Danio rerio: one gene and its partner. Each later gene encodes a partner of the first gene's protein in a complex. Links are inferred from orthologs where the notes say so. Each region holds a gene or a part of one and is shown in the gene's direction. Other genes may lie near its edges.

Evidence for each region.
Region 2: the proteins of tubgcp3 (region 1) and mzt1 are in contact, whole or in part, in a cryo-EM structure (PDB 7QJD), measured with the Homo sapiens proteins. The link is inferred for Danio rerio from reciprocal best matches to the Homo sapiens genes TUBGCP3 and MZT1. Residues at the interface, in NP_006313.1 of Homo sapiens: Lys7, Pro9, Leu12, Leu13, Asn15, Leu16, Cys17, Arg19, Ile20, Leu21, Arg23, Val28, Gln31, Tyr34, Ala35, Val38, Ile39, Asn42, Phe43, Ala44, Pro45, Thr46, Ile58, Leu62, Arg67, Asp70, Phe74, Leu77, Lys80, Leu81; in NP_001065243.1 of Homo sapiens: Asn17, Ala20, Val21, Glu23, Thr24, Val27, Leu28, Glu30, Ile31, Ser32, Arg33, Ile34, Leu35, Asn36, Thr37, Leu39, Asp40, Glu42, Thr43, Ile46, Cys47, Val48, Arg49, Leu50, Cys51, Glu52, Gln53, Gly54, Ile55, Asn56.

Annotation. Positions count from the first base shown.
Region 1 is NC_133176.1:49,730,958-49,736,862, forward strand, and holds part of tubgcp3 (gamma-tubulin complex component 3), read left to right. Parts: intron 1-327; coding exon 328-396; intron 397-1,923; coding exon 1,924-2,056; intron 2,057-3,219; coding exon 3,220-3,386; intron 3,387-5,905. UniProt on the Homo sapiens protein: Component of the gamma-tubulin ring complex (gTuRC) which mediates microtubule nucleation.
Region 2 is NC_133176.1:34,321,653-34,328,309, reverse strand, and holds the start of mzt1 (mitotic-spindle organizing protein 1), read left to right. Parts: upstream 1-3,088; 5' UTR 3,089-3,323; coding exon 3,324-3,375; intron 3,376-6,038; coding exon 6,039-6,184; intron 6,185-6,657. Other genes in the region: bora (protein aurora borealis), read right to left, coding at 38-91, 395-476, 576-621, 709-815, 2,524-2,676. UniProt on the Homo sapiens protein: Required for the recruitment and the assembly of the gamma-tubulin ring complex (gTuRC) at the centrosome.

The DNA of each region.
Region 1 (5,905 bases):
ACAGGGGTGCTAATAACTCAGGGGGCTAATAATTTAAACTCCAACTGTGTGTGTGTGTGTGTGTGTGTGTGTGTGTGTGTGTGTGTGTGTGTGTGTGTGTGTGTGTGTGTGTGTGTGTGTGTGTGTGTGTGTGTGTGTGTGTGTGTGTGTGGGTATATATATTATCACAAGCACTTATGTTGTTTTCACTCGGTAAAGAAAATAATTGGATATGTGTGTACAGCTATTCAAAAAAATGATTACAATTTTAAAAATGAAAATGTAATTACTAACATAAAAAATGTTGCATAATTTTAGTAACACTTGTTTTGTTGTCTTTATTCTCAGAGTTTTTGTGCTGCTCTGCATCAGGAACTGAAAGAGTACTACAGATTGCTCTCTGTACTTCATGCACAGGTGAGTATGGGACAAACGCTTAATGTGCAGGGGAAAATGTGTGTGCGTTCAACCCTTTTCTGCCTTTCGTTCTTGGCTGGAAAAAATCTGCAGGATATTGTAGTAAAGTTTTCAGAACAGAAGTTTGGGGAAACTGATGCAAAGCTCCAGCCAATTTTTGTACCCTGTCTGAAATGAAACAAATTGCTCCTGTAACCTTTTCTGACTGTTGCATCCAAAGCAACTTGTAATGACGACAACCAAGCATAAGAAGCCGTACAGTGTATTAGTGGAATAAATGAATGAATACAACAATCTTTTTTATTATATATTAATAATTTTTTTATAATTATTATGATGATATAATTTTAACATAAAAAAATATAATGGTTTGATTTAAGCCAAGTGATGCTACATAAAACATACCTGCACAAAACAAAAGTTTAATGTTTAATATTTAATTTGCATTATATCTTCTTTTAAACCTCTTTGAATACAGAGGGATCCCTTCTCATCATTAATAAAATAAATATTAATTATTAATTAAATATTAAATATTAAAATAATGAATTATAATTATTAAAACAATATTTCACATATCAGGGACATTGAGCTTCTGCCAGTAAGTTTTAGATATTTTGGTATTAGATATTTATAGTAGAGGTGCAAACATTTAGACTTAAGGGCACTACCAATGACTCCAAACGTTTTCAGATTTTCTTTTATTCATTCATTTTCTTTTCGGCTTAATCCCTTTATTAATCTGGGGTCGCCACAGTGGAATGAACTGCCAACTTATCCAGCCCTTCCAGCTGCAACCAATCACAGGGAAACATACATCTATACACACTCATTCACACTTATTCACTACGGACAATTTAGCTTACCCAATTCACCTGTACCACGTTTTTGGACTTGTGGGGGAAACCTGAGCACCTGGAGGAAACCCACAGGAACATGAGGAGAACATGCAAACTCCTCACAGAAACGGCAACTGACCCAGCCGGGGCTCGAATCAGCGACCTTCTTGCTGTGAGGCGATTGTGCTTCCCACTGCCCCACCCTGCATCCCTTCAGATTTTTTATTTATATATTTATTATTCTATTTTGAATAATTCGATTTTTATTCACTGTTTTCATTTTCTTCATTTGTCTTCATTTGAACTGATGTTTCCGCCATTAGTATTTATTTTCAGCTCTCTGCTCTGAGGCACCTGTATTACTTATGGGCCGGTCTAGCCAATAGCATAATAGCACCTACTGGGGATATAGCAAGACCCCATCTGATTGGTTAAATTTGGATAAATGACCTATGCATGTAACAAGCAAATACTCTTTGATTCAGATATTGCAAATACTATTATCGCCACAATGATAACTATTTGATATATTGTTTAGCCCAACTCTTATTTACATACTTTGCACTATGAAATCATTTGCAGGGCAGTTTGTGTTCAATTATAAAAAAAAAATAATAATCTAAAACATATAAATACAATGTTTTTGTATTTTTTGCCAGTTAATTGGTGTGAATGTGTGTGCGTTCAGCTCCAGGTGGAGGACGATCAGGGTGTAAATATGAGTGTTGACAGCAGTTTGACTCTGAGGAGACTTCTGGTGTGGACCTACGACCCCAAGGTTCGACTAAAAACACTGGCCGCCCTGGTGGACTACTGCCAAGGTTGGTGGTTATACAACTCATCCTGTAAATACCGTCATACCGCAATAGCAATTTCTTTCAATATTACCGTGGTTGTGACTCAATAAAATTATAGGTCTTCTGGTAAAAAGTTTTCTCAGGCGAATGGAGCAAATGGGAGGTAGCGGAAACTACAATTTTCATCAGCCCAGGCGTGGCCATCATCCTTTGCGGTCTGTTGTCACTACAGATCCAGTAATGCAGAAATGGAGGGTGCTGCTAGTAGGAGCAAAGAAAAAGAGCTAAAAATGGTCAAACCTAAAGCGGGTTTTAAATCAGATGCATGGAAGCATTTCAGTTTCTCTCTGAAAAGAAACAAGAAAAAAGAAAAGGTGACAGAAAAAAAAATACAATGCTGAAATACAAGTCGGGGAATATGGCTAACATGATGGGGATTCTTTTAGTCAAGGGGACAGCAGAACACAGCACACTGCTCAGATTGATGGAGACATTGACTTGTACCACCAAGAGACTTCTATCTCACTCATGGCTTGTCCTTTCGAGTGGTGTTTTTTTTTACATGGTTTAATATTTTTTGTTATTAAAATTTAATAATTTAAGTTCCTGTTTGAAAGTTTACAAATAGGTAATTTGTATGTCATTGATCTGTTCAGTGTTGAGGTTACCTGAACATTCTAGCACTTTTTTGAGTCTCTTCAATAGTTTTTTTTTTCCTTTAAATGATTCAATAAATACCGTACCGTGCCATTCATACCGAGGTATTACCGTATCGTGAAATTTTGATACCATTACATCTGTAATATATATATATATATATATATATATATATATATATATATATATATATATATATATATATATATATATATATAATTTAAAATATGAGGCTAAAAAAAAGACTTTTGACTTTTTTTTTACTTGGGCCAGTGAAAATTTTGGCAGGGCAAGTAAAAAATCATATTTAATGTTCTTAATGTGAAATATTTTATGTATTTATTTATCATCTGTTATTATGATTTACATTTTTATTATTATGCAATTTTAATGTTAATTTTTTATCTATATTAATTTTGCTTTTAGCCATTTTATCTTATTATTTTAGCCAATGATCTATATTAATTTTGCAATTTAGCCATAGGTTGCTGATATGACGGTAAATAAACAAACTCTGGTTTCTCTCTCAGGGCGTAAGGGTGGAGAGTTGGCCACTGCTGTACATGCGTATGGAAAGACGGGTGACCCCAACATGAGAGCACTGATCCAGCACATCCTTGGTCTGGTGTCTCATCCGATTCTCAACTTCTTATACCGCTGGATTTATGATGGAGAGCTGGAGGATACGTACCATGAGGTCAGGAGGAACACATACACACTCTGTTTATGTCAAAGTCACACAATAACTTACTTCATACTTTAGTGTTTATTTTATGGTTAACACTGCAAAGCTGTACTTCATTCTTTACACTGTGGCATTCATTTTGCTGGCAATCTACAATTAAGAGACTATTGCAGTGATTTCTTTTTTTAAATGAACTTTTAATTTTGGTCATTAAATGTCCTGGAGAGTTTCACAAGCCTCATTTCTCAAGTAGTGGAGCGTTAAGACCTTTTTTAATAGTGTCTCTGATTTAAATTTCATTAGCAATGTAAGGGTTGCTCCTTTTGATTCACTTCCATTAATCATTTCAGAGTCTTTAGACCATTTAAGGATTATCTCTTATATTATTAAAGCATTTATGAGAATTTTGGAAGAATTTATTTTTTAATGTATTATAATTTATTTAATTCTCTTTATTTAATTTTTAAAAATTATATATAAACTGACTGGCCACTTCATTAGGTACATTTGCCTTCAGAAAATATCTATGAGACATTTTTACTCACAGAGCTTGCACAGTAGCTTTTTTTTTTTTTTTTTACTCTTTCTCTTTTTGTTTCAACCCATTTTCTGTAAACCCCAGAGACTGGTGTGTGGAACAACTGCAGTAGATCAGCAGGTTTTAAAAATTCTCTGACCAGCCTGTCTGGCACTAACAACCACTCCACTTTTAAAGGTTCTCAAATCATCTTTCTTCTGGATTGTGACATTTGATTTGAACTTCTCCATATTTTGACTGTGGCTGTTTCTCGATTCCACAAACACAGAGAATAGACTCGTGTTTTCATGAAGACCAGTTCTGCCAAGTTACCTCGGAACCATCTCGGAAGACCGCGAGAATACATCCTCTAAAAAAATGACATTTTTCCTGATGGTCACATGACATTCACACATTTTAATAGGAAAATATTTAAACATTACAACATTTATACAATAATTTATATTTTTAATATATGTATATAGCATGCAAACAAACCTCTAAAATACAAAAACAAAAAACAAACAACAAACTAACAAACAAAAAACTAACTAAACTGATTTTAACATGAACTTCAGCAATAAACACTGGAATCTCAGCGAATATTTGCTCTACAGACTTGAGAAATATATCCACATAAAGCCTTAAATCTGTGCTTTTAAATGAACCAAGTGCACTTGAAAACTAAAATTTTTTTTTGGTTTTGTAATCTGTATAAAACGAACGCAAGTCTGTCCTGTCAAACGCACATTACATGACAGCAGCCTCTCAAACGCCCACAAACTTGTAAACAAAGAGTCACTATCATTTCTGTAGGACATTCGCCATCAAGACAAGTTGTGAACTGCAGAAGACGAGCGCGATCAGACGAAGCATTATTGGGATGATAGTGTGTAGCACGGCCATAAATGAAATTTTCACGACAAACAAAAATGTTCATTTTGAGTGCGCATGCGCATTACCTCGGGCAACCTGGAAAAAGTGCTGATTTTGTTTGAATCAAACATTTAGAAATGAAGCTTATGAGATGGTTGTTGCCTAATTTTAGTGGTTGCTGTCAAAGTTAGCGTGTTAATGCACGTGATTAATTTGAAATGTATAACGCGTAAAAATAAATAAATAACGCAAATATCACAGTTGCAGTTTTTTTATTTTATTTCCTGTTGTGGCTGACGTGTTCAGGGTCGGCGCGTCTATAGAGGCACCTAGACGGGCGCCTTAGGCAGCAGAATAGTGAGCAACACCCCCGGTCCTCACATTCATGCACTACACCCACCCCCTCCCTCACAGTGCTTACTTTCATCATGCAAGCTATCAAAGACAGTCCTATTCTCTGCCTTTAAGCTACTAACAGGAGTCCTCACATTTCATAAGTTTGATGGAAATCATTTTTGGAAATCACTTTTGTTTGTTATTGGGATTGATGGTTTTGAAATTCAAATGGCACTTACATGTCTGTGTTTTTATTTCTGTAATAAATATGGCACTTATTTGATGGTGATTAATCATGATTAATTACAAAAAAGTGTGATTATTTACGTAAATTTTTTTTAATCATTTGACAACCCAGATAGATAGATAGATATATAGATAGAGATTGATTAATTGATTGATTGATTAATTGATTTTAGAACAATAGATAAAATGTTTCCTGCTACTCCTAAACGGCAACAATGGTGGCTGTGAGAGAAGAACAGTTTCATATAAAGCAAACAGTCGCACGAGAATCCCACAGCAGCACGTCACAATGCATTCTGTTTGCGGTGTATAGACACCAAGCAGAACACTATTAGAACTATGGAAGTTTAAAAGGGTTTAGAAGCAAAACGAACTTCCACAAAAGTATGCTTTAGTGAGCGAAACAAACTCAAAACAAACTTCATTTTTGGCTGGATTTTGTTCGGAAAGATGCCATTTCTGTTCTTTTTTGATTTTGTTTGAAGTATACCAGTGCGTTAAATATATTTAGGCAATTTTTAACTGAGTAAACTTAAATCTATTTAAAACTATTCAA
Region 2 (6,657 bases), about 15 Mb from region 1:
ATTTATTATTGAATTTTCCTAAAAGCTCTGAACAAACCATTTATTTTCTTTGGTGGCTGAATTTCCTCTGTTACCAGTGGGGACAAGGGACCTAAAATTAGACAGATCAAAATATAGATTTTAACTCCCCTATGATTGTACAAAACACAATTCCATTCATCTTTATTCCTATAGTGCTTTTACAATGTAGGTTGTGTCAAAGCAACTTAACATAAAAGTTCTAGTGACTTGAAACTGTGTCAGTAGAGATTTAAGAGTTGAAGTTCAGTTCAGTGTTTTTTGTTTTTTTTTTTCACTGCTGAAAGTCCAAACACTAAAAGAGCAAATTCATCGATATGCAGCTTCACAAGTCCCAAAAACTAAACCAGGATGAAAACAAAACCTCATGACTTACTTTTATGATGCGGCAGTTTCATTGATTGTTTTGATGTTAGTGGTCCCCATGGAGAGGGAACAATTGCACCTTTAGTGAAAAACTGTAAAAAAAAAAAATGTTAAAGCTTCCTCTTCTTTGTTTAAAAGAAAATATTTTTTGTGTTCAGGATTTGCTACATTTAGCAGTAAAACAGTTTTACCTGTTCAATAGCATGTTGGCGTTTTTCCTCAATCTCAGAATCCGCCCTTAATGCATTACAACCCATTTAAGTTAGACATCTAACCAAATCTTTACAAACAAATTAACATTATTGTAAACACAGGAATACATACCTGGCTTGGCTAAAAAACACAGCCTGGCGGTGAATGTCCTCTGGGTCTATTTCCACAGGAAGCAAATTTGCCATTTCATCAATAGACCATTTGAACTTAGCTGGTGTCTACAATAGGAAGTAAAAACAGAAATGACACTTGAGCAATTCCATGCTAATGTCAACCTTGCCATAAAAAATATAAAGTTTTAAACAAAATAGCAAAACCCTTTCCAAGTTTTTTGTGTAGGCTTGTATTTTACAGTACTGTAAAAATACACAAAAATGTCTCAATCAATGTTTTTAAACAATTATATTTAAGTCACATGAGTGACAGTTTAACATGTAACATCCATAATGGAGAGATGCCACATCCATAAAGAAGCTTTTTCCACATAAATACAAAAATGTCAAAAAAAATACAATCAATAATTTTAGTTCTACAGTGAGCCAACTCTTATCATTTTGATTAGCATTGTTTATTTTAGGTTGTGCAGTTTAATTCACAGTATTTCTACAAAGTATGTTATATACTGCAAACTCACAGACTTTTTTGGTCACATTCATAAAAAAGCATGTCTATTTTCCTCATTTAAAATATAACAAATGCTTACAGATTGATATTTTGTCAGATCCCATAACTCTGTGGTTAGTTGTTTTGGAAAATTTAATCAGATGTTTCCATATACAGTTGAAGTCAGAATTATTAGCCCACCTGTTTATTTTTTCCCCAATTTTTGTTTAACAGAGAGATTTTCTCAGCACAGTTCTAATCATAAGAGTATTAATAACTCATCTCTAATAACTGATTTATTTATTCTTTGCCATGATGACAGTAAATAATATTTGAAAGACAGTTTTATACAGCTTAAATTGACATTTAAAGGCTTAACTAGGTTAATTAGGTTAACTAGGCGGATTAGGATAATTAGGCAAGTTACTGTGTATTGATAATTTGTTCTGTAGACAGTGTAAAAAATATATAGCTTACAAAGGCGAATAATTTTGTCCTTAAAATGTTTTTTTTTTTCAATTAAAAACTGCTTTTATTATAGCCAAAATAAAACAAATAAGACTTTCTTCAGAAGAAAAGTATTATCAGACATACTGTGAAAATTTCCTTGCTCCATTAATCATCCTTTGGGAGATACTTAAAAAAAGAAAATTCAAAGGGGGGCTAATAATTCTGACTTTAACTGTACATTCTATGTGTATGCTTTAAGTTTTTACTGCAAATGTCACATCCGTAATGCTGGAATTGCTCTCATCATTTACTCAACCTTAACCTGTTTGAGTGATTTTCCCCTGTTGAACTCAAAGAGAAATTTACAAAAGAACGTTCAGAAATAAACAGCCATTGACTGATTTTTTTTTTCCTTCAAACTTTAACAACTGACCAAAGTGTTCCTCACAACTGGCTTGCTAGGTTTGGGACTTGGGAAGCTGCACATCAATGGACTTGCTCTTCTGTATTTGTACTTTTAGCAGTGAATTTTAAATCACAGTAAACTGAACTACACTAAACTGAACTTCAACTCTGGATTGACACAGTTTCCATCTACTAGAAGCAGCTTTGAAACATTCTACATTGTAAAAATAGAAAAAAACATGAATTGAACTTCCATCATGTTTTTAGTGTCTACTATGAATATCAATCACTGTTTTCGTCCCCCAACATTCTTCAGAATATCTTGTTTTGTATTCAACAGAAGAGAGTATTTAATAATGGTTGAGAACCACTTAAGAGTAAATAATAGTGATGAAATTGACATTTTGGGAGGGTGAGCTATCCCTTTAGTTCTTTCCTCATATGTAGTAGAGTCAGTTAATTACTCACCGCTGACGAGCTCTTACAGCTTTTAAAGACAGACGGACTGGGCACCACAGACTCATGCAGACGGTGATAGTCGTTTGGGCTCTCAAACGGGTTCAGGATAGTAGGTCTAGCAGGAGTCTCGGGAGTTATATGAATCTTTGCGATGTCTCCCATCTTTAAAAAGACATCCAGCTGAGCACGCTGAATGTGTGAGAGTAAAACACGGAAAAGAGGAGATTATTTAAAGTATCAACAAATCAGAGCGATGAACATCATGTTTGCTTAGTTATATATCTTGTTATACATACACAAAAGATCAATGATACAATGTTCTACCTTTGGTAATCAGCAGTCTTAACGTTATAAAAGAAGGGGAAAACGTTAACCATGTGTTAGTTAATTAAATACTTACATCGTAACGAAACTCAAACAAACGTAACTGTGATATATGAATTGCTCCAACGTCTGATTTAATTTTTGATCAAGCGGTGCAAGCCAATCACAATCGAGCAAAACTTGCAAAACAGCCAATCAGGTGAGAAGAACGACACCCTTTCAGTGTCTACGTAACTTCCTTTCGAACGTGTGCAACTTTATTGACAGGATTACCATAACATCAAGCGGGAGGTGTAAATATAACGGCTGACAGTTAGTTCATGCTTGTTGTTGAATGCGTTTTATATTTTTCACCCTTGTTGTAAGTTCGCGAATGGTGAGAGAACGCCAGCAACTAACGTTTACAGAGATAGACGCATCAGTGTCGTCTGAATGAAAGATAGTGCGCTGTTAAGTAATCATATAGCTTTAGCAACGATAGCATCATGGCTAGTCCTGCAAGCGCAAACATGAACGCTGTCCGCGAGACCATGGATGGTAAGATTAAATGCATCAGTAGAATGATGAAATGCTGTCATTATAATGCATGCCCGTAGACAGCCTGGTGAAAGGGGTGGTTCTTTATTTTCTCATATGGTGGACCTTGTTGCAGTTATTCACTTCAAAAAAATGCTTTTTTAAAGTAACGTTACTTTATGAAATGTTGCCATATGGCATCGACGTCCAACAGTGGACATAACTTAGAAAATTTAAATGTAGAACTTTCCTTCTAATGAATAATTTTGTTCTTTGAAATGATTTAACTGGTGTTGCAGTATTATAAGCTTTAACACAGAACTTATAAATGACACCTTATGCATACTTTTCAACAACTGATATTCCAACAGCTTTTATTTATTCCATTCTTTTTTGCTGAATATTATTAAAACATAATATTGTTTTATAATGTATACAACACGGTAAAGGTAAATATTTTCTAAACATTTAAGTAAATATTATAATAAATATACCAGTACAATCTATCTAGATGTATCAATGTAGTTACTAGCTAACATTGTTTATATATTATATACTATATACTATACTACGCCTGTTTTAAATGCCTCCGAGCAAACTTACCTGAACTGTCTCCATCACTGTTCTTATCAAATGTCCAACCTGCATCATTCTCACGGTCACTAAAACCCATCTCAACATCACTTTCATCTGCAGGAAGAGCCAGATCTGTCCATTTCTTCTTCCACTTACCATAGAACATGGTGGTCCTCATTAATACACTGTTCCCTGTATTTATTTCTAATCAAACGTATTGCCATTAAAATGTGATTTTATCCATTTAATTTCTATTAATATATGACCAATTAACATTATATTACTAGCATTCATGTTGTTATTGTTACAACTTAAAAGATCACAGCTGACCTTGCTAGCTAGCTAACCCATTGCAATACTGCACATTCCACTATTGCACAGAGCAACACATACATTTGATCGAATTACAAAAAACTAACAAATATCAACTTGAATATAAGTTGGTTTTCTTTACCTCTTTTTCTGTCCATTTCTGCCAAAAACATGCTCTTACATAGGGCTGCACAATATTGGAAAAATCTTACATTGTGATATTTCACTTTACTGCGATTAGAAATAGACTGGTATTAGATTCTGATGGTACTGTATGATAACCTTGTATATAAATATGACTGTATTGTGATTACTAAAATATATATTCTTTTTAAATGTCTAAGTAAAAAACAAAAACTTTTTCCCCTTTAAACAACTTTTTTTTATTTAGAGAAATATTTAAAGTATTTTGAAACAGTAAACATGTCAGGCTAAATAATTAAAATGAATTATTGCATTCTGACTTCATTAGTTTCAAAAACACTGAACAGCTCTACTTGGAAAGAAAGATTTCATTCATATAGATCAGCTGGGATAATTAAATCTTTTTCAATGCAGTGCATCAGCATAAAATATAATAAATTACAAGCATATTCAAACAAGACAGAGCAAAAATAAACAGTGCTTTATGGTTTTCTAAGGAGTGTAAAAGTAATCAAATACAATAAAACGTAAAATAACATCACTGTATAAATAACCTAAAAAATAATAACTTTTTAATCTTTGATAAACAGTCTAATTTTGTGATATGGCTATTGTGGATACACATAATGCAATATAGATGCTCAAACTATATATTGTTTAGCCCTACTTTCACATTATTTGTGCTGTGTAAGCATTACATAAATACATTTTACATAGATATAAAAATAGATTTAAACTAAATAGATTGTTGACTGTTTTACAATATGCAGTGCAAACATTAGGTCATGAAAATTTACTTAAAAGTCCTGGAGAAGGCATGGAATTTTAGTAGTAAAAATGTGTATGAACCCTGTATATTAAAAGATAAATAAATAAAGCTTGATGATTTTTATAGCCTCCCATGTAAAAAAAAAAGTACATTTGAAAATTCATGGATCACAAGAATAGCCTAGGTATTAACTTTAGTATAACTAAAGCTTTGCTGCTTAAGGTCCAAGATTTAGAATCAAAGTTTTTTGTAAAATGTTTTCTCTATTTAACAACAGTGCAGTTGGTCAGTAGTGAAAAATGATTTCACTTACAGTTGTGTCAGATTCTGCTTTGTCCTAAAGCTATTTATGGGATGTGTTTGCAATTTTTGATGGCTTAGCAGATAAAATTGGACTATTGAGCTCATGTGTGTGGCAAATTCTGGAACTTTGTCGGTGTGGGTGGGTATTTCGAACCACTCGAACCCCTCTTAGCTTTGGGTCTGTAATTTGTTATTTTATTACATGGCGATACAGATCCTCACAAACTAAACATAAGTAACGTAAGAAACATAAGTGTGAATAAAAATGTTAATAATGTAAATTAATAATAATATCTCTATTGGTAATTTCTTTGTTGCATTTTATTGGTGGCATTCTAGTTGATTATGTCTCAAAACGTACTAAAACCAATTCAAATATGTTGTCATAAGAGGTTAAATTAAATTGAAGGTAAAATGAAGTCCTTTAGAACTTCTGTAATGTTTCTGTTTTGTTTTTTTGTTTTCAGAAGGGGGAAATAACTACACTTACTGCGTTAACCAAATTATTTCATAATACATTTATTTATACATTTACATACAAGGTTGTTTGACATGATTTGTTTCATTCTTTCACTCTCAGTTCTCCTGGAGATATCAAGGCTGCTGAATACAGGATTGGACATGGAGTCTTTGTCAATATGTGTCCGTCTCTGTGAGCAGGGGATCAATCCCGAAGCCCTGTCATCAGTTATCAAAGAACTCAGAAGAGCCTCAGACTCACTAAAGGTAGGTTTTTTGATGGCAGTCCATCATTTTTCTGCTTCTTTTTCCACACTCTCTCTTTTAATGGTTTTGAAGATGCTAAATAGCATATGGTCATATACTTATAAATTGTAGTTAAAAATGTTTAGTGCAAGGGTTTGGTTTACCCTGAAAGACCCAAACGTAGAAAAATACACTTTTAGATGTTATTGGAGGCCTCTAATGTAATGAAATAAATTAGTTTTTACATTTAAAAAAAATGTATCAGGAAAATATAATATTGCAATGCTGGGCCTCTGGAGTAGCAGAAAGTTGCAGCAAAAGCTATGAAGATCCAATGTTTTTTTACAGGGTGTACTGCCTATGCAGGCCCATAACAGTGGCCTGTATATCTACACGCAACACAAATCAAAACACAATTAGAATAATTGCCGTGTATAATCTATATTTACAAAATTTGATGAAGTAAATGACAACTTTGACATGTGCATGTCTGT